Linked DNA regions of Saccharomyces cerevisiae S288C. The gene in region 1 interacts genetically with each later gene. Each region holds a gene or a part of one and is shown in the gene's direction. Other genes may lie near its edges. The genes, in order: UBA1, RPL40A and CLN3.

Evidence for each region.
Region 2: of UBA1 (region 1) and RPL40A, extra expression of one rescues a mutant of the other (dosage rescue), as found in Saccharomyces cerevisiae (one study listed by BioGRID).
Region 3: of UBA1 (region 1) and CLN3, extra expression of one rescues a mutant of the other (dosage rescue), as found in Saccharomyces cerevisiae (one study listed by BioGRID).

The regions. Positions count from the first base shown.
Region 1 is NC_001143.9:37,160-42,770, forward strand, and holds UBA1 (E1 ubiquitin-activating protein UBA1), read left to right. Parts: upstream 1-2,003; coding exon 2,004-5,078; downstream 5,079-5,611. Other genes in the region: TRP3 (bifunctional anthranilate synthase/indole-3-glycerol-phosphate synthase), read right to left, coding at 1-994; ATP-binding cassette a-factor transporter STE6, read right to left, coding at 5,264-5,611.
Region 2 is NC_001141.2:67,046-70,036, forward strand, and holds RPL40A (ubiquitin-60S ribosomal protein eL40 RPL40A fusion protein), read left to right. Parts: upstream 1-1,662; coding exon 1,663-1,670; intron 1,671-2,104; coding exon 2,105-2,483; downstream 2,484-2,991. Other genes in the region: MLP2 (Mlp2p), read right to left, coding at 1-1,022; SLN1 (histidine kinase), read right to left, coding at 2,746-2,991.
Region 3 is NC_001133.9:65,172-69,212, reverse strand, and holds CLN3 (cyclin CLN3), read left to right. Parts: upstream 1-1,692; coding exon 1,693-3,435; downstream 3,436-4,041. Other genes in the region: holocytochrome c synthase CYC3, read left to right, coding at 1-497; Rho family guanine nucleotide exchange factor CDC24, read right to left, coding at 3,809-4,041. UniProt on the Saccharomyces cerevisiae protein: Essential for the control of the cell cycle at the G1/S (start) transition. CLN3 may be an upstream activator of the G1 cyclins which directly catalyze start.

The DNA.
Region 1 (5,611 bases):
ATTTCAAATCTAGGATTTTCCTCACATTTACTAAATCCTGTAACGAACCGTGAAACCAATGAGGTTCGGTCAATACGGAAATTGCGGATGCACCAGCCTCTGCGTATTTGAGAGCCTGTTCAGCAGCAACAGCTTTTAAACAAATGGGTCCCTTCGATGGAGAGGCACGCTTGACTTCAGCAAGAACAACGGCTCTTTTATGGGATGATGACAACACCGTGTAGAAATCCTGTAACGGTGGGGCAAGACCTAAATCATAGTTAGATTGTAAGTCTTGAAAGGTGAAACCTGGGATTTTAGACTGCTCATTGACGTCTATTTTACGCCGAGCATAGATACGGTCCAAAATAGAATTTGAAGGAGATGATTTGTTTTCCTCCCAAGTGCCTCCACTGACGTTTAAAATGTTCCTGATCATCAGATGACCTTCCTCGGTCAAGATGGATTCCGGATGAAATTGCACACCTTCTACAGTGTACTTCTTGTGTCTTACACCCATGATAATTCCATTTTCGGTACTCGCAGTAACCTTCAAGCAGGATGGTAGGGACGATTCTGTCCCGGCCAATGAATGGTATCTTGTCACAGCAATACCTTGCGGCACGTTCTTGAAAATTCCACAGTTGTCGTGAGAGATTGGGGACGTTTTACCGTGGACAATCTCACCAGCGTAGGCAACTTCACCACCAAATACGTCAAACATGCATTGCTGGCCCATACAGATTCCAAATACAGGAATTTTCCCAGTAAAGTACCGGATACAGTCTCTTGAAATGCCAGAATCTGTCTTTGGGTGGCCTGGTCCAGGCGAGATAAGCAATGTGTCGGGATTCAAGGCGGCAATTTCTGGAACTGTAATTGCATCGTTACGGTAGACGCTCACTTTGGCGCCCTCCTGGCACAAGTACTCGTAAACGTTCCAGGTAAAGGAATCGTAGTTGTCAATTAGAACCACATGCTTATTGATTGGGTTTGTTGCAGCGTGCACAGACATTTTTTTCTTACTTTTATGGCGTTCTATGTAGAACCAAACAGATTTGGTAATGTGTTAATACTGACCAGCTCCTTGTCGAACTTTTTGCGTACCTTAATATCTGCTATAGATTAGAATGAGTCAACGAGCCATTGATGATCATTCAATGATTACTACAAGAGGCATTTTCCGTCGTCAGTGATATGAATAGCACGGTGAGGTCCAGAAGAGATAGTAGGAAGTTTAATACTGGCTCAAAGGCATACTTATATCGACAAGCTAAGCGCAAATACTACTTTGTGGTACATCATCAGCATTGCTTTCGAGAAAACAGCATTTAAAATCAGCCATTTGCTGCGCTTTCTTTAAGCCCTAACAGAAAATAGTTCAAAAAGGCCTATAAGAAGCAAAAAAAGTGAAAAATACGAAAAAATACTCCAGCGGAGGAGTATAAAAGGGAGGAAAATACAAAATGTAGTTGTGTTGTTACGCATCTCAAAGAAGAAAGAAGAAGAAGAAGAAGAGGACGTCGCACTTGCAAGCAAAAACAGCGACTGGCGCGAGAACAACAAACACTAATGCATGTCTCTGTCCAGCAGGAAAAGCGAGCCTTAGTGTTTCTTATTTTCTCGTTCGCCTCACTAGTTTGTAGTAGGGTGGGAGAAACGATGGAGTGGATTGTATGATGAGGAACCAGATAGGGACAACAGATTCTCAAGTGACGAGGAACATCTTTTAAAGCCCAGTTTTTAGTAGAGCTTAGGGCGCCTTTACTGACTATCCACTCCTTGTTAAGCTATGATCTTGTATTCATGTGATTGTAAATAATATTAGAGCTCTTTCTTGAATTGCCATTACGCTTCCATGCGGCATATTCTCGTGTAGTGTGACAAAAGGTGCGGGTGGCAAATAAAGGTAAAAGAAAATGATCAAAAAGGGCCTTTAAGTAGGATGAGCAACCGCCAATCGCTGGATATAAGCAAACAAAAAGTAAGATTAGTAGCAAAGCAAAGAACATATAACTATAGCTATGAGCAGCAATAATAGTGGTCTCTCTGCCGCCGGAGAAATCGATGAAAGTCTTTATTCTCGTCAACTTTATGTGTTGGGTAAGGAAGCAATGTTGAAAATGCAAACCTCCAACGTATTAATTCTCGGCTTGAAGGGGCTAGGTGTTGAGATAGCGAAGAACGTTGTGTTGGCAGGTGTCAAATCTATGACCGTTTTTGACCCTGAGCCGGTTCAATTGGCAGACTTATCAACCCAATTCTTTTTGACCGAAAAGGATATTGGTCAAAAGAGAGGAGATGTGACCAGAGCCAAATTGGCAGAGTTGAACGCATATGTCCCGGTTAATGTGCTGGATTCCTTAGACGATGTTACCCAATTGAGTCAATTCCAGGTCGTTGTCGCTACGGACACTGTTTCTTTGGAAGATAAGGTGAAAATCAACGAATTTTGCCATTCCTCCGGTATTAGATTCATTTCCTCGGAGACAAGAGGGCTGTTTGGTAACACCTTCGTAGACCTAGGTGACGAGTTCACAGTGTTGGACCCAACGGGTGAAGAACCTCGCACTGGTATGGTTTCAGACATCGAGCCCGATGGAACAGTGACCATGCTAGATGATAACAGACACGGGTTGGAAGACGGAAATTTTGTCAGGTTCTCCGAAGTAGAAGGTCTTGATAAGTTGAATGATGGGACCCTTTTTAAAGTTGAGGTTTTGGGGCCCTTTGCATTCAGAATTGGTTCAGTCAAAGAATATGGCGAGTATAAGAAGGGCGGTATCTTCACCGAAGTCAAAGTACCCCGTAAAATCTCATTCAAGTCTTTGAAACAACAACTGTCCAATCCTGAGTTTGTTTTTTCGGATTTTGCTAAATTTGACAGAGCTGCTCAATTGCATTTGGGATTTCAGGCTTTACATCAGTTTGCCGTTAGACATAATGGTGAACTGCCAAGAACAATGAATGACGAAGACGCCAATGAATTAATCAAGTTGGTCACCGATTTGTCCGTTCAGCAACCGGAGGTTCTGGGTGAAGGTGTAGATGTTAATGAAGATTTAATCAAAGAGCTTTCCTATCAGGCAAGAGGTGACATACCGGGTGTCGTAGCATTTTTCGGTGGCCTTGTGGCACAAGAAGTGTTAAAAGCATGTTCTGGTAAATTTACTCCGCTAAAGCAATTTATGTACTTTGATTCCTTGGAATCATTGCCAGATCCTAAAAACTTCCCAAGAAATGAGAAGACTACTCAGCCAGTAAACTCTCGTTACGATAATCAAATCGCGGTTTTCGGTTTGGATTTTCAGAAAAAGATTGCCAATTCAAAGGTCTTTCTTGTCGGATCTGGTGCCATTGGTTGTGAGATGTTGAAAAATTGGGCACTTTTGGGGCTTGGTTCTGGCTCCGACGGTTACATCGTTGTTACGGATAACGATTCGATCGAAAAGTCCAACTTAAACCGTCAGTTCTTGTTTAGACCAAAGGATGTCGGAAAGAACAAATCTGAAGTAGCGGCAGAGGCCGTTTGTGCTATGAACCCCGATTTGAAGGGCAAGATAAATGCTAAAATTGATAAAGTGGGGCCAGAAACTGAGGAAATATTTAATGACTCCTTTTGGGAAAGCCTGGATTTTGTCACCAACGCTCTAGACAATGTCGACGCAAGAACATACGTAGATCGCCGTTGTGTGTTTTATAGAAAACCACTGTTAGAATCTGGTACCCTAGGTACTAAAGGTAATACTCAAGTCATCATTCCAAGATTGACTGAATCATACTCTTCTTCTAGAGACCCACCAGAAAAGTCTATCCCATTGTGTACCCTACGTTCTTTCCCAAACAAGATTGATCACACCATTGCCTGGGCCAAATCTCTTTTCCAAGGTTACTTCACTGATTCCGCCGAAAACGTTAATATGTACTTGACACAACCGAATTTCGTTGAGCAAACACTAAAGCAAAGCGGGGATGTCAAGGGAGTTCTAGAATCCATCTCAGATTCTCTATCTAGTAAACCACACAATTTTGAAGATTGTATCAAATGGGCAAGGTTAGAATTTGAAAAAAAATTCAACCATGATATCAAGCAGTTACTGTTCAACTTCCCCAAGGATGCCAAGACTTCCAACGGTGAACCATTTTGGTCCGGTGCTAAGCGTGCTCCAACACCATTAGAGTTTGATATTTACAATAACGATCACTTCCATTTTGTCGTAGCAGGTGCTAGTTTACGCGCTTATAATTATGGTATTAAAAGTGATGACTCTAATTCTAAACCCAACGTGGACGAGTATAAGTCCGTCATCGATCATATGATAATTCCAGAATTTACTCCAAATGCCAATTTGAAAATTCAAGTTAATGACGATGATCCGGATCCAAATGCCAACGCGGCTAATGGCTCAGATGAAATTGATCAGCTGGTATCATCCCTACCAGATCCTTCTACTTTGGCTGGCTTTAAACTGGAGCCTGTAGATTTCGAGAAAGACGATGACACTAATCATCATATTGAATTTATAACGGCTTGTTCTAACTGTAGAGCTCAAAACTACTTCATCGAAACTGCTGATCGCCAAAAGACCAAATTCATAGCTGGCCGTATTATTCCTGCCATCGCAACAACCACTTCTTTGGTTACTGGTTTGGTCAATTTGGAATTATATAAACTGATTGACAACAAGACAGATATTGAGCAATATAAGAATGGCTTTGTTAATTTAGCTTTGCCATTTTTCGGTTTTTCGGAACCAATTGCTTCACCAAAGGGAGAATATAACAACAAGAAATATGATAAAATTTGGGATAGATTTGATATCAAGGGAGATATTAAATTAAGTGATTTAATTGAACATTTTGAAAAAGATGAAGGGTTAGAAATAACAATGCTTTCTTATGGCGTTTCTCTTCTTTATGCCTCATTTTTCCCTCCAAAGAAATTGAAAGAAAGACTAAATCTACCAATAACTCAATTGGTTAAATTAGTGACTAAGAAAGATATTCCGGCACATGTATCTACAATGATTCTCGAAATTTGCGCAGATGACAAGGAAGGAGAGGATGTTGAAGTTCCTTTCATTACCATTCATCTATGAGTAACTAATTAACCAAAATAAAAAAATAAATTAAATATATACATTAAATATGTATATATATATGTATGACTTTTGACAACTTTTTCTTTGGTAAAAACTTATTATTATTATTATTATTATTATTATTAATGTAGTCTCGAATATTTGAGTATGTTTTAGTTTTTTGTTTTATATTTTCTTTGGGTTTAACTGCTTTGGTTGGAAACAATTTGGAATAATTCCCCGCGATTATTATATAAAGTGTCGAAGTTACCTCGCTCAACCACTTTACCATCTTTAAGAACTGCAATCGAGTTACAAGACCTCATCATTTGTTCACTATGCGTTATAACCATTGTTAGTAGAGCAGGTGGACCTTTTTTGACGATCTCATTGATGATAGAGGAGCTGACAGAATCCAAGGCTGAAGTACACTCATCTAAAATCAGAATTTTTGATTTTCTCAGAAGTGCTCTGGCTATGCAAAGCCTTTGCGCTTGTCCACCTGACAGTAAAGTTGTATCAATACGTGTATCCAAGCCCTGAGGTGATGA
Region 2 (2,991 bases), on another chromosome or scaffold:
ATAACTATATTCTGTAACCTTTGACACTCATTTTTTGATTTTTCGAGTCTTAATTTTGTGTCTATAAGTTCGTCTATCACATCAGTATGTTCAGGGTTCCTGCAGGAATTATCATCATTTTTCTCTATTGCTCTCAAGGAACAATCTTTTTCCAATGATGTTAGTTGTGAGCGTAGCAAATCGTTCATATTTTTTTGTAAAGTCATTTCTTTGGAGAATTCTGCTTTTTCCACACTTGCGGTATCTTTCAAATTTTTCATTTCCAGTACTTTCTCTTCCACCGACTGGGATAATTGTTTATTTTGATTTAGTAAAAACTTATTGTACGTAAAGACAGATTCATAGTTGGATTGCATTTGGTATAGTTTTTCTTCGAGGTTCTCTACGTGCGATGATTTTGTGACTTCTTCTGTTAGCGTTTTTTTGCTAAAAGATGATAATTTTTCTTCAATTAATTTTTTACTTTGTAACATTAATTCTTTTTCCTGTACTGAGGTATCGTACTTTAACTGTAATGATATAGCATTGGACTTGCACCTTTGTAGTATATTTTCCATTTCCATCAGCTTTCTTCGAAGAAGCTTATTTTCTTTGTTCAAATCATCATTTAAAGAATCATTCCCCTGATCTCTACTCTGCCAAATGTCATATTCTTCTTTAACTCGTTTTTCGTCATTTACTTCTCTCATAGCTTCATGGCTCACATGCAATTGTTTTTTTAGTGCATCTATTTCCCGCCTATATCTGGAACGTTCTTCATTCAGCTGATCTTTCAAGCCATTCAATTCTTCTTTAGCTGTGTTCTTCTGCTCAGAAGATTCATCTAGTAGCTGCTTAAGTTTTGAAATCCTTGAATAGTACTGCGATTTGATCTCATCGACCAAAACATTGAGTTTTGTCACTTCCTCTTCAGAACGTTCAAACTTGGCTATTTTCTTGTATAACTTTCTTAAGACAGGATAGGTAACACCTTGAAGTGATTCGAATGGAACATTTAAAAACTCAGATATTTTGTCCTCCATTGCCGGTTTGCTTCCGCCCAGTGTTCTTTCGCCTTAAATTTCTTTTGGTAAACTTCCACTAGAAAAAGAAAAGCCACCAGAGAAATAAGCGCTTGCAATTTAACGCCGATATTGTTTTCTTCTTCTATTATCTTCAATTATCGATCAACTCTATCCAACAATTCTATAATATCCACTGTTCATTAACGAATATTGGTCTTTTTCCCTTATGGTGAAGTAAATTTTCCATGCAATATCCGGGTAAGCTATCGACAAGTTTATTGACTGCAATTTGAGTTTATTACATCCGTACATTACTAAGATGTATGGTTTTTCTATTTTTGTGCTCCGTGTCGATATTTCGTGGAGCAAACCAGAAAAGATGCGGAACCTCTTAGCACTCCGCCTGGACATAGGCGGAGCATATTCCTCCTATGGGATGGGTTTTGTTGTACTCTTTTCTCTCTAGACAGGACCTCCGATTGCCTCCCTGAGGGTGAGATGGTTTCCGGCCTCAGGACGGCCTTCTCCAGTTTCTAGCGAGGCATACATTCCAACCAAAGGTGTATCAAGAATATCTGAAATTAAAGGTAGTTGAATCTCTATTTGTTGTTGTTATTACCGCTTATTATCCCATAGTTGAGACGACCAAGATTCAAACATGCAAATGTATGCACCATATCCATTCTAAACATAGTTTTTCGAACGTTCAGAGCTTAAAGGGACAATTATTTTAGAAACTGAATTTTTACCCAGTGGAATAACATCGTATCTGTAAAGTCTACAAAATTTTTTATCCATCAAAAATTAAAACAAAGAAAACTGCCAAACTGAATATGAGGAACTTTCCTCTCTAGGAATGACTTAGTGAATGTACAGTGACTTGTGGAAAATATGATTAGATTTTGAGCGGGTGATGCGACTTAACAGTCTCATTGCCTAAGAAATATCCAAATTTGTGGTTCATGCTCTCCCCCAAGATATGACGATGAGAGCTCGTTTAAAATTTTGTCTTCTTCCGAACAGTTATGAAAAAACTATTACGTGTTTTTATGATATCCTTACTAACTTGTCATTTTTTTATAAAATTATTTTTTTAACAGTTTTGTCAAGACTTTGACTGGTAAGACCATCACTTTGGAAGTTGAATCTTCTGACACTATTGACAATGTCAAGTCAAAGATTCAAGACAAGGAAGGTATCCCACCTGACCAACAAAGATTGATCTTTGCTGGTAAGCAATTGGAAGACGGTAGAACCTTGTCTGACTACAACATTCAAAAAGAATCCACTTTGCACTTAGTCTTGAGATTGAGAGGTGGTATCATTGAACCATCTTTGAAAGCTTTGGCTTCCAAGTACAACTGTGACAAATCTGTTTGCCGTAAGTGTTATGCTAGATTGCCACCAAGAGCTACCAACTGTAGAAAGAGAAAGTGTGGTCACACCAACCAATTGCGTCCAAAGAAGAAGTTAAAATGATCTGTTTCGCCCAATCAATCTATACATTTATTTACTGTATACTTTAATGTACATCTTCTTTTATCATACCTACTGTTAAAATCATAATATTAATTCATACAATATACTTAAGAAAACAATATACTTTTCTTAGTTTCATAACTTTGGAATCTATAATGTTGTTTTTTTTTTTTTAAGTATATTTGTATATTATGCATATAAGTCAACGCGTAGCGGTGGTATTACGCGCAAGCTTTTGATTTCTCTTACTATTCTTGGTTGTTCATTTGTTATTTTTCTTTCCCTGATATGCTGCACAAAACTCAGTAAGAATAGTTTTCAATTTTGGTCTTTTGATTGGTTTCGATAAAAATCCGTTCATTCCTGATTCCAAACATTCTTTAATGTTGCTATCGTCAGCAAAAGCGGTTAGAGCGACAATAGGTGAGGTATAACCTAAATCGCGCCTTATCATCTTGGTAGAAAGTAAACCATCCACTTTAGGCATCTGGACATCCATGAAAATCAT
Region 3 (4,041 bases), on another chromosome or scaffold:
TTAGAAAGGGCAAGATTGGCGGTAGCGGCGAAGTCGCCGAAGATGCAGTGGAGTCCATGGTGCAGGTCCACAACTTTCTAAATGAAGGGTGCTGGCAGGAAGTGCTCGAATGGGAAAAACCGCACACAGATGAAAGCCACGTGCAGCCTAAGTTGCTGAAATTCATGGGGAAACCGGGCGTATTGAGCCCTCGTGCTCGCTGGATGCACCTGTGCGGCCTACTGTTTCCGTCCCATTTTAGCCAAGAACTACCATTCGACAGGCACGACTGGATTGTACTCCGAGGCGAGCGCAAAGCGGAACAACAACCTCCAACCTTCAAGGAAGTTAGATACGTCTTGGATTTCTACGGAGGGCCCGACGACGAAAACGGAATGCCTACTTTCCACGTGGATGTCCGTCCTGCCCTAGATAGTCTAGACAATGCTAAGGACCGGATGACCCGTTTCTTGGACCGGATGATCTCGGGTCCGTCCTCTTCGTCCTCCGCCCCTTAAATGATATACAGCCAGCGTAAGTACGTGTAAATAGCCAAGTAAGAAATAATGATGTCCTAGTGCAGCCACAATCAATTTCACTTTTTCATATATATTTTTCCACCTTATTATCACAAGGTGCACCTTTATCGTGTGCCACGGCGGTAAAAAACTACCTTCAGGGGTACGATACATTCTGTGCTGGCGACCACGGGGCTGACAGAGACACCCGTAGAGGCTACATTACTGATTTGGGAAATTTCCCAAATTGGAAATATCACCTCGTCGACGTGCTGCGGTGCATGGCTGTTTTACCCGTTTAGGAAAAAACTCGGCGGGTTTTCTTGACGGGCAAATGTCGCCATTCGTCTCGTTTGAACGCTTGGCCTGTAAAACAGCTAACTCATTCACTATCTCTATCCTGCGACCGTGATGATACCGAAAGTATGCTGATACAGATCGGTCCCTCATATCGCGATAGGGCTTTCTGAGCTCTCCTCCCCCTTCTTCCCTCCCCAGCCAAAGAGGCCGGTTTTCCTTCTGGGGAAGTGTCGCAACCAAACGCTGTGCTCAAACCCTAAATTGTGAACTTTCAAGAAAAAAAAAAAGAAAAAGTGAAAAATTATCAGGCAAGAAAAAGAAATTACCAAGCCTGCTCTCACTGTAATGATCAAGTTACATAAATTTACTATCGGATTAGTGTGTCCCTCTGCCACATTTCCATATTTGGCCTTGGGTTTTTGCCCTCATCTTTTTTTTTTCTTCCTCCTACCTATTTATAATTTGTATATCTGTACTTTCCTCGAGCTTTTAATCTTCTTCTTAAACATTTTCTTGTGTAGTATACTTTCACACAATTTCTTTCTTGATTTTTTCTTCTACTACTGAGTCTGCCAGTCAAATGGATTTCTGAGGAAAGAGGACTATACCCATTAGGAAACGAATTGCCCGAGTAGTCTCCTCTGCCGACTTAAACCAACCTTTTTCTATTTCTCTTTTCTTTTCTCCCTCTTTTTTCTCTGTACTAGCATCCAAAAGCAAGCATCCATCCGAGTCCCAGTCGCAATCTCACATCTCCAATTTAACGTATCCATTGCATTTCCTCATTCGGTTTAACTCCTCTGCATTTCTTTTCTGACCCATAGCATTTCTTACATTCCATTGCATCTCCCTTTTACTCTCGTTCAAGACACTGATTTGATACGCTTTCTGTACGATGGCCATATTGAAGGATACCATAATTAGATACGCTAATGCAAGGTATGCTACCGCTAGTGGCACTTCCACCGCCACTGCCGCCTCTGTCAGCGCTGCCTCATGTCCTAATTTGCCCTTGCTCTTGCAAAAGAGGCGGGCCATTGCTAGTGCAAAGTCTAAAAACCCTAATCTCGTTAAAAGAGAATTGCAAGCACATCACTCAGCGATCAGCGAATACAATAATGATCAATTGGACCACTATTTCCGTCTTTCCCACACAGAAAGGCCGCTGTACAACCTGACTAACTTCAACTCTCAGCCACAAGTTAATCCGAAGATGCGTTTCTTGATCTTTGACTTCATCATGTACTGTCACACAAGACTCAATCTATCGACCTCGACTTTGTTCCTTACTTTCACTATCTTGGACAAGTATTCCTCGCGGTTCATTATCAAGAGTTACAACTACCAGCTCTTGTCCTTGACCGCGCTTTGGATTTCGTCCAAATTTTGGGACTCCAAGAATAGAATGGCCACTTTGAAAGTCTTGCAAAACTTGTGTTGCAATCAATATTCTATAAAGCAATTCACGACTATGGAAATGCATCTTTTCAAATCACTCGATTGGTCCATCTGTCAGTCGGCAACATTCGACTCCTACATCGACATCTTCTTGTTCCAATCTACGTCCCCGTTATCGCCTGGCGTTGTCCTTTCTGCCCCTTTGGAAGCTTTCATTCAACAGAAACTGGCCTTATTAAATAACGCTGCTGGTACTGCTATTAATAAATCGTCCTCTTCTCAAGGCCCCTCTTTGAACATCAACGAGATCAAATTGGGTGCCATTATGTTGTGCGAGTTAGCTTCCTTCAATCTCGAATTATCATTTAAATATGATCGTTCACTAATTGCGCTGGGTGCAATTAACCTCATCAAATTATCTTTGAACTACTATAATTCAAACCTTTGGGAAAATATCAATCTGGCTTTGGAGGAAAACTGCCAAGACCTAGATATTAAATTGTCAGAAATCTCTAATACTTTATTGGATATAGCAATGGACCAAAATTCTTTCCCCTCCAGTTTCAAATCAAAATATTTGAATAGCAATAAGACATCTTTAGCAAAATCTCTCTTAGACGCATTACAAAACTATTGTATTCAATTGAAACTGGAAGAATTCTACCGTTCACAAGAATTGGAAACCATGTACAATACTATCTTTGCTCAGTCCTTTGACAGCGATTCATTGACTTGTGTTTACTCAAATGCTACTACTCCAAAGAGCGCTACGGTTTCATCTGCGGCCACAGACTATTTCTCGGATCACACTCATTTAAGAAGGTTGACCAAAGATAGCATTTCTCCACCATTTGCCTTCACTCCAACCTCATCTTCATCCTCTCCATCTCCATTCAATTCCCCTTACAAGACTTCAAGTTCAATGACGACCCCAGACTCTGCATCACACCATTCACATTCAGGTTCGTTCTCTTCTACCCAAAATTCTTTTAAAAGGTCACTGAGCATCCCACAAAATTCAAGCATCTTTTGGCCAAGCCCACTAACTCCCACCACCCCATCTCTAATGTCAAATAGAAAATTATTACAAAATTTATCTGTGCGTTCAAAAAGATTATTTCCTGTTAGACCCATGGCCACTGCTCACCCATGCTCTGCCCCCACCCAACTGAAAAAGAGATCAACTTCCTCTGTGGATTGTGATTTTAATGATAGTAGCAACCTCAAGAAAACTCGCTGAAACGACAAAAAAAAAATGCATTTAACAACAAATAAATTAAAATTTGCAAAGCAAATACGTTAACATACATTAATGATCTTTTTTTCTTTTTGTTTTCACAGGACTCATTATTTCTTTAAATATACTTATATTACATTTGCATAGAATTACAAAAAAAAAAAAATTATAAAAACGCACAACCTAAAATACGATTACTATCGTTTTTTCTCCTTACTTCCTCTAGTCACATTATACATTTTTTTTCATCCTTCACAGACGTATCTTAATACTAAGTGTGGATCAATATAATGGGTATAGCTTGAACATCTGCCCCTCTCTATCTAATGTTTTTTTCTTGAATTATTTAGTATTTGCTGTATACTAGTTTTATTTATCAATACAGACGAATGTTCAAGAATTTCTCATTGTTTTCCGCCAACATTTCTTTAGCAACATTCCAATCTTCATCGCTACCTAACACAACAAAATCCCCATCTTCGTCCTGATATTTGATCTTGGTGATTGGTGAAATGTTGTTATTATGTGTATTCGAAATTTTAGAATTGATCGCCATTATCAAGTCGTCAAAATTCCAAACTTTTTCTACCAAAAGTGTGAAGATCTCGC